Linked DNA regions of Drosophila melanogaster. Changing the gene in region 1 together with any one later gene gives a genetic interaction. Each region holds a gene or a part of one and is shown in the gene's direction. Other genes may lie near its edges.

Region 1 (5,378 bases):
ATTTATCGTAGTTTATACCCCTGCGCTTACTGGGTTCTTGGTACACAACGAAAAATAAACAATGATATGGGAAACTACATTTATTGTAAGAGAAATATTCAGCTCCATTTGTGGAATTGATTTTACTGTGATTATTCTAGAGGGTTGAATGACAAGAAAATTACCGACATGGTTTTACAGCCTACAAGTTACTGGATTGCAAATGAAGAAATTTTAGAAAAACACTTTGTACTCATACGGGTTAAGTTTTAAATTTACATTTCTGACAGTGTGCTAAAATCAATTTATCTACTGCACATGTTTGACTTTTTGTTTACAATGTCCACCGTCATCGCCTGCTTTTAATATTGCGAAGGGGGTAAATGGTTTGACACCCATTATCAGTATCAGTTCGACGCACGACAATCTCAGCGAAGCGTTCGGTGTGCGACAGCGGAACATCGATTCATTCAGGCAGCATAAGCTTTAGGCTACTGATAAGATTGTGGCATGATTTCACGCTGGGAAACTATGGGCATGGTTTTGTTACACAGTTGCTACGCATGTGACGCGGCCGCGGAAATTAACTTAAGTCCGGACATGAGGTCTGGACCTCCCCCACAGCCACCAATTGCCGTTCAGGTCAATTTAACGTCAGCGTTTCAAGTCAAGTTCAAAGTCAACGGGGAGAGTGATTCTAAGCTGTAGAACTAGACCTAGCTTGAGTCACGGCACCGATTCATTTGATCTGCTGATTGGACTTTCCTCATCGAATGATCATTGCCGAGCACTTAATTGCCGAGTGGAATGTTTAGGACAGCAATCTTCAGTTGTTTTTCATTGTACACAAAATTGGAAGTCACTCTCATGTGGCCGGCAAATGGCATGTTCCCTATGTTTAGGGGTAATTGTATGCAAGTGTAAATATTAAGTTAGCAGAAGTCTCGTAGGGTAAGGATATTTACTAATTCGGTGTGGTGATATCATATAGATTTGCTTCTAGGGACTTTAATCAGACCATTAAGCTCGAATGCAATCTTTGCGCTTATTTCACTTAAGCAATTATATTTTATCTTTATGTTCAAACTTTTTAGGGCAGATAGTGCATACGCTAGAGTGCTTTCGTTCTACTCACTACTAACTCACTACAAATCACTACCTAAATAGGCTAATAGACGCATTTTAAAGACCCCAATTTCGGTAAATTCATGAAATTATAAATTCTCTTTTTTATAGTCCTATTTATGAATTATAAATGCACAAATTCATTTTCATACGCGCAACGGCAACTGTGAAAAGTGAGGAATCCCAATAACCAAAAATTAACAGGGACTTGGTGGCAGAAAATTTAACACTCATGAGAACTACAGGGTGCGAGGGCAAAGCTTGGGTTAACAGGATGATAGGTACACAGAAAAAAAAAACTATTCCATTGAAATTTGCGATCATCATTCATACGGTGTTTATGTTTTTGGAGTAGTTGATTCAAAATTGTAAAAAAAAAACCCTGTGTTTCCTTTAGCAATGTGGTCCAATCAGTTCATCATTTTATGCATATAATCTAAATAATAAAATTGAACCTGATTACACATCAAAATCAAATTTCTCTCCGTGCATCGGGGGAGAGAACAATAAATGTACACGGGGTTGCTGTTGCTTTTATTCCTTAAGGACGGGAATAACACACTAACCGCATGGGAGAGAAAAGAAGTGGAAGAGGGGAGGTGGGTAGGGAAAAGGAGCGAAAGAAGGAGAAGCGGCAGGAGCATAATAAAGACAAAAAGTACGTGGGTGGAAAACAACAAATACAGCCCAAATTGTATAAACTCACGGAACAGTTATTTCCCTCTATGGGTGGAAAATTGTTGCTGCTAATTCCCTTGCTGCTGTTGTTGTTGTTGTTGTTGCCGCTGCTGCGTAGGCGTAACAGTTGTTTTGCCGATGTGTGTGTGTGTGTTCTAGTATAATTTGCAGCATCTGCAGTGCAATAAATTCCACTAAACGAACATTAGCCACTTTCAATAGAACCAAAAATCTCACTGCAATTAAGCAATAACCGCGCAAGCAATCAATCCCGATTAGTTAAAGGAATATACGCGCGTACGCACAGATTTTTAAACAATCATCCGCTTTCGCCGAAAGAGTGCCGGCACTCGAAAAATACCTCCGCTTTAATCAAGAGTCCGCGGGCAATTGAAAAAGCTCTCGCTTCGCGTGTTCACGGCGTGTACCTACATAGGTACGCATCAATTAGGTACCTGCCGCCCACTGCTTTAATCGTAAGTGCATTTCTGATTTAAAAGTGTGACACGAGCCTTATAAGTCTTATAATTTATATTTTATGCAAACAGCTTTACAAATTTTTAATGTGTAGAAAGAAACTGCGTTTTATTGAATTTGAGCATCATCAAACTTCAACCCCAAAGAATTACACATAAGTAGTTTCGTTTTTGCTACCAAAGATGCTGACGTTTATTTTGCGTATTAGATATGGCTTTGTTACAATTTTAGTAAAAGTATTTTAAAATGGAAAGGTACAAATCTGAACTTTAATAAAACACAAAATTGTTTAATTTAAAAACTTCAAATATTCAAAAATTCCTATAATTCAATTAAGTAACCCACTGTGCAGCGGCTTATCGATTTCCTCCGACAATCGATTGGACCATGTTGTTTAATTTCGCGACATATCGATACTATCGTGGTAGATTGGCCATTGACCAACGCGTTTTATTTGCTACCGGTGTGGCTTTTGTTTGCTTAAACAATTGGATAATTTATTGCAATCCCGGCTTAAATGCATATGATTGAAGAATGCATACATCGGATATCAGCATGACCCAGGATCAGGATGTGAGCACTTGTCGCCTGTGCCACCATAATACGGATCCCAACTCGCTAAACATTTTCGATGACACCGTGCAGTTTTGCAAGGATGTGTCCATTGCAGAGGTTTCCAAGAGTCTCTGGAGCGTTCAGGTGAGTGGGCCATTTATAATCCATGGAAAAAGTGCATGAATAACTTCTCCACCTACAGTACGATCGCAACGAATGTTTGTCGGAGCTCATTTGCTCAAGGTGTCTGGAGATCCTCGAAGAGGCATTCGAGCTGCGAAAAGGAATGCAGGAGCGGGAACAGTCCCTGCAGGAGCAGCTGAAGGAGATGATTAAAGATCATCCGAAGCACCGTCCAGGCCTGAATGGCAACCCCGGAGTATTCGTACCCGAGGAGGGCTGCATTATTGTGGAAGTTGATCCAGAGAATCTGGCAGAGAGCAGTGAAGAGGAATTCGCACTCGGCTCCGATGGGGAGTACGAAAACTATGACGACGATGATGAGGAGGAGGAGGAAGACTACGATGAGGAGGACGAGGAAGATGGCCAGAACGGCGAAGACGTCGACATGCCACTGGGCATGGATGCGGCCCAGATGGCGGCTCAACAGTCCGTTGCCAACAACGCCAACACCACGGAGGCACGGCCAAAACGAGCGTTCCTCTGTCAATACTGTGATCTTGGGTTCACTCTGCCCGCCGAGTGTCAAGAGCACGAGCTGGCTGCACACGATCCCAACGCACCGTACTGCTGCAACTTTTGCAACATCAAGCTGGTTACCCGGCCTGCTTTGATTTCGCACATAAAGACACTGCATGATCCGGACCGTCCGTATGTGTGTGCTCACTGTCGGAAGGGTTTTGTGCGCCGCTCCGATCTTAAAAAGCACACAATCGTGCACACTGGCGTGAGGCCCTTCACATGCAACGTTTGCTCCAAGAGTTTCTCGCGGAATACAAATCTGACCAAGCACATGCGCATTCATAGCGGTGTCAAGCCCTTTGTTTGCCAGCAGTGTCCGCGATCCTTCCAGACGGCTGTGGAAATGATGCGCCACACACGTTCGCACGGAGAGGTAAAGGCTTTCCAATGTGGACGCTGTCCCTACTCGTTTTCGCGCAGGGATAAGCTAATAGCCCACCAGCAAGTCCATACCAGGCGGGACATGGAGCAGCAGCAGCAAATGGGTCTAATTCCCCCGATGGAGGGTGATCTGCAGCAGCAGGCGTTGCAGGCTAAACAAAAGGCTGCCGCACAAACCAAAAACTCACGCTATTACCACTGTGATGTCTGCGATCGAACTTTCCAACGGGAGAGGGACCTGCAACGCCATCAAGCTCTTCACATGGACTCGCTGTTCGCCTGCAAGACATGTAATCAAGGTTTCAACCGACGCGAGCAACTGCAGCGCCATGAGCTAGAGGCTCATGGTCCCAGCTTTACGTGCGGAATCTGTTGCATTAGCTTCCTGCATCAAATTGAGCTGGAGAATCACCTCAAAGTCCATCAGTTGCAGCACAAGATGGCCCAGCGGGCTCAAGAGGCTGCTATTTTACCCCTAAAAATGGCCGAAAAGGCTCCAGTGGCTATGACGGCTCCGCTAGTTCAGGATCCCCAGCTAGTGCGTCCCTCGGCAGCGGAACTGTCGTTCTACAGCAACATGATTCCCACAATGAATCTGGGCTTCTACAGCGAGACTCGTCCCGAGGAATAGAACAACATATTTACATGTTTAATAAGCTTAGTTGATAGGTCGGAAAAGTTTTGTAGGTCAAGGCTGTTTTAGTCGTTCAGGTCAACATAGAATCCATTGGTGTTAATGAATCTGTATAGTTTAAGTCATCTGACTATTGTCTGCCAAAATGTAGCTTAGTGGTTTTTAATAAAAGGCCAAATCTGAAACGGTTTTCTTCGAGATCGTATGACTTTGTGAAGATATTATTTTTCATAAGATATTAAAGAAAGTTTTCTGCTCTATAAAAAACTTCTTAAAGTTAAGTTATGTTAAACCTATTTAAAGTAGGTTTACTTAATATATAAATAAAATATCAAGTAAGGTATTTGAACATTTTGTATTAGCAGTCGTCTCAGACCAACATGTTGCGTGCAACAAGTTGCACGTTGTCCGATACGAAGAAGGTCTTCTCCGAAATCTTCAGAGCAACTGCACCGCTGCAGATTCTTTCTTGAGTTCGCCCCGTACGGTAGTGCCTCTCGACCAGCGCTCTCGGATCTTGATCGCCTCGAAATCTCGTAATCGCCTCGAAGTGCGCGTAGTGAATTGTGCTGGTGCTGACAGTGTAACGTAACGTTTGATAGAATAATAAATAATAAGTATTGGAGTGGGAGATCCGCAAAGAAATGTGGCCAAGCTACCATAAATAAAGTGCGGATTTCAAACGAGACGATAAATCTATTCCCGAAACGGGCACGCAATCGAGGGAATACGAATCCACCTTACGGTTCGCTTGGTTTTGGTTAGGTTCAGGTTCCGCTGAGAGCGGTAAGTACGCAATTACCTTCGCCATTGCCAAGGGTCACTTCGCAGGCGATTTATGTGTATG
Region 2 (9,018 bases), on another chromosome or scaffold:
TTGTAACGTAAAAAGATTATAAAATAACTTATTTGTGGCAATATATATTTCCAACGTTTTCCCCCCAAAAATTTCCGGCAATAAATTGATGTACCAAGTTTTAAAACTGATTGTTTATTTCTATTGGGTTTAAAAACACTTCATCTCAACGTTTATCCACGAAGAGAAATTATAAAACGGAAGTATGTTTTATCCGCCTTTTTTCACAATTGTAAAGAATACAACGCGGGGGTAAATTTCTTAATAACAAAAAAGTTATACTAAAATTGGCTATCTAAGAATTAATAATATACACACAGTAGTGGAAATATTAATTTATACAATTTAATCAGTTTTCAAGATTACCATTATTTGCTAGCCTAGTTGGTAACTAAGGTCTTGAATTGTCCGAAAGATTGATGTATTTTCCCTTCTGCAGGGAAATTTTCTTGGGCAGGCTGATGAACTCTCCTCCGTTGGTACATTTCGTCGGGGATTCCGGGAAATCTGCCTTAGCGTAAAAGCTTTTCTTGCGGTATGGCAACTTTCGGCGATCGGGTTCAACCCGTTTCATGGGGTCCAGCGTCATAAACTTGCCCTCCAGAAGACGTCGTTCCTGTTGGGTAGACGGCACTTTGCTTTTGAATCCAGAAAAGAGGCCGTGGGAACTCATGTGCGACATTAAGCGCGCCCACACTCGATAACTTGAGGTGCAGTCCTTATATGGGCACTCATAAAATCGCTGCTGCGTGAATTTGACTTTATGGCTCCTCGTGTGCCTCCTGTAGGATCCTTGGTTAGCGAAGGACATGTTGCACTCCACGCAGATGAAATCGGATACATTGTGAACGCTGTTCTCGTGGCGGATAACGTCGAAATAGCGTGGGAATATCTGGTTGCATCTGAGGCACAGAAATTCCAAATCCTTTGCGCCGCACATGGTCTTGTTGTGTTTCATCGTCTTCATGTGCTCATGTAGTTCGTGTAGTTTGTGGAACTCTGAACCACAATCGCGGCAATAGTAGACCGGATTCGGGCGGGGTTTACAAGAATGCATGCGTATGTGGGTCAGGATTTCGAGCACATGGCCGCAACAGGTGCACAGCATCCGAGTGGCTTGGGTCTTGTCCTTGAAGAACTTGGTGACTGCCAAGCCATCGCGTGACAATCCCACGCTGAAGAAATCCACGGACGCGGTTTTCAAAGATTCTTCGACTACGATCTCCATATGCTCGTTTTTTTCCAATGGATCTTCCTTCACTGGCTCCGCGATATGCTGATCGAAAGAATTCTCCTCATCATTCTTTTCCGTTTCTACCTCTTCTTTGTTTGATGTCACCTCCAACTTGATCTGAAATGCAGTGGAGTCGTCTATTTCGATGGGCCTCCGGTGAAACTCGTCCTGGGCCGTGCCCCACTTCTCCAGGGATTCGCTTATGCGCAAAGTCTCTCCAAAGCAGGGCTCGCAAATGCAGTAATTTTCCCCCAGGATAGCAGCCTAAAATACGTGGGTTTCTTTGCATTTGACATCCATTGGACTCACTTTCAGAACTTACATCAATTTTGTACCAATCGAAAAGTCTTTGCAGCAGTTTATTGGCCGATTTGAATTTGGGCTTCTCGAGATCGATCTCAATTGCTCGGTTATCCTTGCATAGTTTGCAAATTTCCGCTTCTGTCATTTTGCTGATATTTTCGAGGAGGTCCAAAAACCAAGTTAATAAAAGGCAAGTAATCAATGATTTCTTCGATGTCTGCTAATCGATACTATCGATAGATGTTTAATTTATCGATACAATGCAGAGCTGCTTAATGTCGATAGGCAATTGAATTAATCGATTTTTAATTTACGGACTTAGAAATTTATGCAAATCTAAAAATAAATTAATTTTGATTGATTTGAATAGAGATAGTTGTTCAGATTTAGGAGTTAGGTGAACGATCTGAGATCGAAGTGAATTTTCTAAAGATGCCGCCTGCATATTGAACGGTATAAAAGCTTTCAATGTACACAAATTTGCCTAACATTTGCTAAGAGAACCGGAAAATATTGTTTAATATCATAATCGAACAAAAACCAATTTACAAGTTTAGACTGTAGTTTTTTCATTACCTAAAAAAGTATTTGTGTAATTATTTGAATGTTCGAAACCCAAAACAAGAAAATACAAATAATTATGAAAAAAGTAAGAAGTTGACTAATTGCAATATAAATTTAAAAATTAAAAAATGTTGTAGTGAATCCAGGATACCAGGAAACTAGTTCCATTCGCCTCCGATAACTTCCGAGTATCGATAGGCTCTATCGGCCATCAGAATCGCGATCTAGTTCGGTTCGCGTGCAGCAGAACGCAAAGTACAACAGGATTTTTTTCGTTCCGTGTGACGTGAAAAGTGCAAATAGTAATTGTTCGAATTAGTTTAAGCCTAGCTAACTAACTAAATAAATAGCCATGGTAGGTAGTTGTTGATTGACTGAGATAAAATGCTGACGCAGTGAGCGGTGTCAGTGTGTATGCATGTGAGCCGCGCGTTAACTGGTGTGTGTGTTTTTGTCGTGGCAATGTGTGCGTGTTAAAAAAAGCGGCCGCCGCGTCACAATACAAAATTGTGCTTCGATTTTTCCTAATTGCATTTCGATTTCTCCCTATTTCCGTCTATTTCCCGGATCAGTCGTTTGCGGAAAAGATAACGGGTCTGCTGGCACGGCCGAATCAACAAGATCCAATTGGACCGGAGCAGCCGTGGTATCTCAAATATGGAAGTCGATTGCTGGGCATTGTGGCCGCCTTCTGTAAGTTGTAGGATATATAATAAATTATCTACTAGCTTAACACATTAAAAAGTTGGGAAAAACATCCGTGACATTGGGCGGCCCAAAAATATGTTGCATCGATTTTTGTGTACCACCCTTTGTTGTTGTTGCTGTTATCTATTCGTAGGTGTAGGTGTGCAGTTGTGTTCGTGTGTGTACGCACGCTCTCTGACATTGATAAAGGAAAAACAAGAGAGGGTGAGTGAGAGGTGAGAGGCAGTGAGAGCGGAGAAAGGAAACATGGAAAAGACAACACAAAAAGGATACACAAATTCACACACTGAAAAAAATACTAGTTATGTATGTAGCTAAAGTTTATTTTTACATCAAAATCAAAGAAATGTAGGGTAAAGTGTGAGATTTCCAAATGAATTAAGAATGAAACGTATAATTTTAAGGTAAAACAAAGTCCAAAAAAGGTTTTTTTTTGTTTTGTTATTGAAATATAAAATAATACATTCACCCACTTAACTAAGTGGGCTTCCTGCACTTAATATCTCTTATCTAACCATTTCGTTTGATAACTTTTTATTTCGTGTGTAGGAAATTGCAAGTATGTATAGGAGCTTTTCTGTGTCAAGTTTGGCGCTCTGCTTTTTCTTTCCGCATCGAATGTAATTCTCTGTGCCCATTCAATCGAAATTCGCACTGCCTTTTGTTGTATCAGCAGCTTCCCTCTTTCCATCTCTATTTTTAACTTTGTTTTACCCGTTTGCGTATTTGCTTTTTTATCTGGACTCAGTTAACCTTAACCCTTAGGCTGCCACACGTGTTATAAGTGCAATATCGTAATAAGTCTATGCGTATCTTAAATTCAATTGGGGCATCTTTTTTGTAATTTCATCATCACCTTCTGAATGCATAAAAAAATGCAGTTCAATAAACTTTTAAGTAGTCGTGATCTACTTTGATTAAGTCCAAGTCAATCTTTTTAATCGCAGTTGGGGTTTTGATTATGCTATTGGGTTTCGTGTCGTTAGAATACTTACAAAAATTATTTTAAAAATCAATCTAAACCATACATATGTATATAAATGAAAATTCCACAGAAACAATATGCCTCATTGACATATTATTCCTGGAATTTTTAGAGATCAACCAAAGGAATATTTATTTATTCAAAACGTTTTTAACATCTTTTTTTTCTCTGTACAAAAGCATCTTTTGTTGTTGGATATTCTGGCAATGATTCTCACTTAGTGAAATGCAGAAATTGCCCAACAAATGAACACCATCCACTTAAAATCAATATAAATAGCTGAATACCTCAATTAAGGGATCACAACTCACTCGTCCGGCTTCCACAATGAACCGGTTTTGTTTGCGTAAAATAAAACCAAAGTCTATGATTAATAAATAATTTTATAAGCCGTTCCGTGGAGCACAACGACTTCTTCCCCAGGTTGGGTCAGTTTGCCTGGCTTTAAGAACCGCAATAACCTCAAAACCCAGATCCGATTTCGCAAAAGGAAAAACCTAACTTGCGAAGCTAAATATTAAAAGTGGCCTAAATCGTGAAATCTTTTTTATTTTATTATTCATGTATTTAGAATTTTAGAATTCAACCTTTCCTCGTGATCTTTTGCTGCATTTATACCAGCCACTTTTATCCAATTATCACGCCCCAGGCATTTGTTTATCTGCGAATTATAGTCGTATGTGCTGTTTACTCTTTGTTTATGCTTTTATCATAGACCAAAAGCAGCTGATAAAATATTTTAATGTAATTCACTTGTACGCCCCTCTAGCGATATCGAATGGAATTTAGTGAATTCTACCTGTGAACTGAACTACTTACTATCAACTAACAATTTGCCCAACTGTTTTTCATGCTGTTTGTCACGCTTCTGTGGCTCGTTTTTGTTTAAAAAATTTTTAAATAAAAGAGAAGGCCATAAAAAGTTAGAAATTGGCACAATATGAGTCAGCGTTGTAGATTAGATTGCGTTTCCTCGTTTTTACCATACGGGGCGGTTGGCCCGACATAATGGGTCTAGTGGGAGTATGATATTGGTATTTTTGGTCAGTGTTTAGCGATAAAGATATACGCCTTTTATTGGAAATTACAAAAATAGCTTGACCTCTGCATACATTAAATACAACATATGATAGGAATGTAATTTTTTTAAATAATAAAAAATCAATAGAAGTTAGCAGTAAGCAGTAACTTGAGCTACATGGAAACAGTAGATTGAGGAGCAAATTCATAATAGCCAAGGAAAATATTCATTATTAGTAGATTATAACATTGCATAACTAACATCTTTTATCCCATGTTTTCCTTCCAGTTGCCATTCTTTTCGGCCTGTGGAATGTGTTCTCCATCATCACGCTCAGCGTATCCTGCCTGGTGGCTGGCATCCTTCAAATGGTGGCAGGATTTGTGGTGATGCTCTTGGAGGCTCCCTGCTGTTTCGTCTGCTTTGGGCAGGTGAACGAGATCGCGGAAAAGGTGGAATCTAAGCCCTTGTACTTCCGTGCCGGGCTCTACATTGCGTGAGTAACCAAAGAAATTTGTCACAAATTGTAATATTTCCTAAAGATTATGTTTTCCATTTCAGCATGGCCATTCCGCCCATTATTCTGTGCTTTGGACTGGCCAGCTTATTCGGCAGTGGGCTGATCTTTGGCACTGGCGTGGTTTACGGCATGATGGCGTTAGGCAAGAAGTGAGTATGGGGCACCTCGGAAAATCGCAGTTAAATTCAGAAAATTGCAGCTATGCCGCAGAATTTTTAAAAGAAATAGCTGGATTCAAATCAAACTGCATTGATTAGGCACTCATGTGTTCCTAAAACATTAATCTGAATTTAAAAAACAAGCTTTATGGTGAATTTCTGAATTTAAAGACGACTTCGATTATTGGGTTAGTTTAGTTGCTAAGCGAACGGAGGAGCGAGCGATTTAGTTAGTTTTGCTAAGCCATTTTTGCTAATCGAAACAAAATGTTTTCTCTATATTCCCACGATGTGCTTGCCACTGTGAAAACGCTTAAATAACTATAAACTAACACGTAGAGCTTCTCGAGAGGACATGGCCGCCGCTGCCACATCGCCCACACAGATGGCCGGCAGTCAGGCGGGCGGTCAGATGCAGATGGGCGGCGATCAGCATATCACACTCATGGAAGACCCCGATGTCTGGCGCCCCACATAAATTCCTAGCCGCGCCATTAGTAACTGCCAAAAAACCACACTCAGATACAGATAAAGACACAGATACTCAGATACACAGATTCACACACAAAATACTCCACTAGAAATGCGAACGATGCAAGAATTGATCGAGTAACAAATATTTTACGGCGCCTAGTTTTTAGTGTTCGTTCCGAGGATAAATGCAACTAAGTGAAAAGGAAAATCACTACAAAGCAGCATTGTAGGGCATCAGAGAACTAGTATACAGAACACCCCACCAAATACAAAAGAAAATTTAACGAAATTCTCATTACTGTTGAAACCGAGAGTGTTAGTAATCAAAGTATATTTTGGGCAAATGCATTTCCGTCATTCGACCCCCCGTTTTGCATGGCATTCGTACTATATTCGTATTCAAATTTTTTAATATCTTTCGTCGAGCGGTTGGTGTTGTTAAGAACTACAGTTAAATATATATAATATGCATAGAACAACTACTGATAACAATAACGTAACTCACATGTCAAACTCTGCAGCAAGCATATATTTTTAGTGAGAAACTATATTTGAAAGCTAACCGAATGCAAGAGGAACCGGAACCTATAAGTTAACCACAGCTTCCACACACTCACACACAGCTAATGCTAATGGAAAGCCACTGATGATATGGACAAGTGAATGTCGAGAACCTAGAGCAATATGTACAACTCAGAAATAATTAACTTTATATGCTTTGCTTCGATGTAAACCATAAAATTAAATGTTAAACGTTATTTGAGAATCGATTTGCTCGCGGGATAGTCACAATTTGAAATTGAACATAATCAAGCATACAGATAGAATATATATATATATATATATATACAACAAGTTGAGAATTTACCAGTTATATTTTTTAAATGTTGTAACCGAAAAGTGTCCATTTCAATTTGATGCATTGTTAGACGGTTTTCTTTTTAGACAATTACTTGGTTAATAGGATTTCGTTTTCGGGTTTCGTATGATTTCTTGTTTGCTAGAAGTATATGCTTATTTTTTTTAGTATACCTAAGTTATTTATAAGAGTTTATTCCAATCGTTTAACTTTGAAAGTCTGAGAAAAACGTTTTAAATTATTTTTGTTGTTGCCTATTGGCATTCTTACCACAGAAGCATTCCAAAATCTGTTTACTTTACGCATAAGTTATTGTATAGTTTAATTATTATAACTTTAAATATACATTATTTACAAGAAACTCGCGATAATTTATTACAATTTAGCCTTCGCCAGCAACTAAGAGTCTCACCTAAAGTAATCACGAATCATAATTAATTTGTTGAACTTTGTTAATCAATGAACGCAACACTAAAAATGAAAACATAAACATGTAAAATATTTCGTTAGAATTTGAACGCGCATGATTCAAATATCAAACACTTTGTACATGCCACCTGAAAACTGTCCAAAATCCTGCCGTTAAAGCCAAGTACATTCAACGACGGCCAACAGCGATTAACAACAATATACGATTTACGTTAACGAGTTCTGAACTTTGCTGCGTCCAAGAGATCACTACAGGCAAATACATTTTGAGCTTTCCTTTTTGTAATTGCTAACGATTGTAAATTGTATATTTTTCGTAGATTTTGTCAATGATTGATGACGTATTTATTTACTTGTGCACACGAAGAATGAAATTGATTTAGATTAGTTCCTGTAGTTCCCGGTATTTATGTAAGACTTGTATACTGTATTCATGCTGCCTTAGTTTTTTTTTGTTTGTCTTAGAAAAGCTTTTAGAAATATCTGGCTGTTCTATCGACCCTTTGGTTTCATGTAGGCAAAGTCACAGTTTTTAGTTGAGCACTTGTAAATTGTATAATTTTGGAAACCATTTGCCAATGTTTTGTACTCTAAAGACTAATGTAATCCTTTTACTTTTTCAACAGAGCATCCGCCGAGGACATGCGGGCAGCTGCTCAGCAAACCTTCGGAGGAAACACACCTGCCCAAACCAACGATCGAGCGGGGATTGTGAACAACGCCCAGCCCTTCTCCTTCACCGGTGCCGTGGGCACGGACAGCAATGTGTGATTCAGAAGCTAGCTGATCGGGATTTCGAGGAATCGAAGAGCTGGGTGTGCCGTGAGAAAACAAGACTCAAAACGCAACATTTGAAGGGCAAACCTAACCAAGAGAACATCGGCAGGCAATCATAAACATAATCATGTGCAATTTCTGATTGTTCAATAACCAACGCAAATGGATAACAAAAGTTTTTAAATCCGATTAGCTCTGATCTCTTTCTAGAGCAATCCAAATTACTCGATCAGAAAGAAGCCACCCAAAACAAGATCATTAAATTTTAAACCATTTTTGTATTAAATGTATGTAAATGTATATTGGTTTTAAAAGCGTTTTGCGTTTTCTGTATCCTATTAATTAATTGTGTTGCCTGTGTCCCATCATTCCAAAACATTTGGTTTCAACTAAGTAGAAATTGCAAATAAATTATTGAACGACATCACTAGCGAGGTGAAAAAAAAGATCATGTAAAATTTATGTTTAGTCATAGTTTAAATATACCTTAAATATATTTAAATGCATAATACTAAAATGTTTAAATTAATGCAAATAACACTATAAATATTGTATGTAAACCATATTAAAATTGAATTAAAGATACTTTAAATTATGTTAAATAAAATTAATTATACAAATCATCGTTGTAATCATCGCTAAAATGTAACTATTGTGGGGCATGCTTTTTGGATGATTCCTGAGCTGCGGTATCTTTTGGGGGAAATAAAAAATCAGATTACGCTCACAAATATCGTATAATTTTAAAACTTTTCGCCATAACAACAAATACTATTTATAAAAACAAAAATTACAAAAACTGTTAACTAAATGATTAAGATTCATTGGAGGCGCTTTCATCGGAGACGCTTTCATCGGAGGCGCTTTCATTGGAGCCGCTTTCGTAGCCTTCAGGATACTCGATGATCAAAATTTCTTCGGATGCACTGCCGCTGTCATCATCCGCGGCATCGTCATCATCATCATCATCCTCCTGCAAGTCGTTGGCAGACTCATCCGAGTCCTGC

What was found.
Region 2: of prg (region 1) and fwe, changing one enhances a phenotype caused by changing the other (phenotypic enhancement), as found in Drosophila melanogaster (one study listed by BioGRID).

What each region holds. Positions count from the first base shown.
Region 1 is NT_033779.5:8,461,817-8,467,194, forward strand, and holds prg (piragua), read left to right. Parts: upstream 1-2,671; 5' UTR 2,672-2,793; coding exon 2,794-2,958; intron 2,959-3,016; coding exon 3,017-4,528; 3' UTR 4,529-4,878; downstream 4,879-5,378. UniProt on the Drosophila melanogaster protein: May be involved in transcriptional regulation. The function of this protein is unclear.
Region 2 is NT_037436.4:15,809,691-15,818,708, reverse strand, and holds fwe (flower), read left to right. Parts: upstream 1-2,298; 5' UTR 2,299-2,432; coding exon 2,433-2,435; intron 2,436-2,652; coding exon 2,653-2,773; intron 2,774-5,082; coding exon 5,083-5,290; intron 5,291-5,355; coding exon 5,356-5,463; intron 5,464-5,811; coding exon of another isoform or gene 5,812-5,950; exon of another isoform or gene 5,951-6,467; coding exon of another isoform or gene 6,468-6,501; exon of another isoform or gene 6,502-7,489; intron 7,490-7,860; coding exon 7,861-8,005; 3' UTR 8,006-8,628; downstream 8,629-9,018. Other genes in the region: CkIIalpha-i1 (CKII-alpha subunit interactor-1), read right to left, coding at 371-1,477, 1,536-1,661; CG13445 (uncharacterized protein), read right to left, coding at 8,826-9,018. UniProt on the Drosophila melanogaster protein: Transmembrane protein which mediates synaptic endocytosis, fitness-based cell culling, neuronal culling, morphogen gradient scaling, and calcium transport. Regulates synaptic endocytosis and hence couples exo- with endocytosis.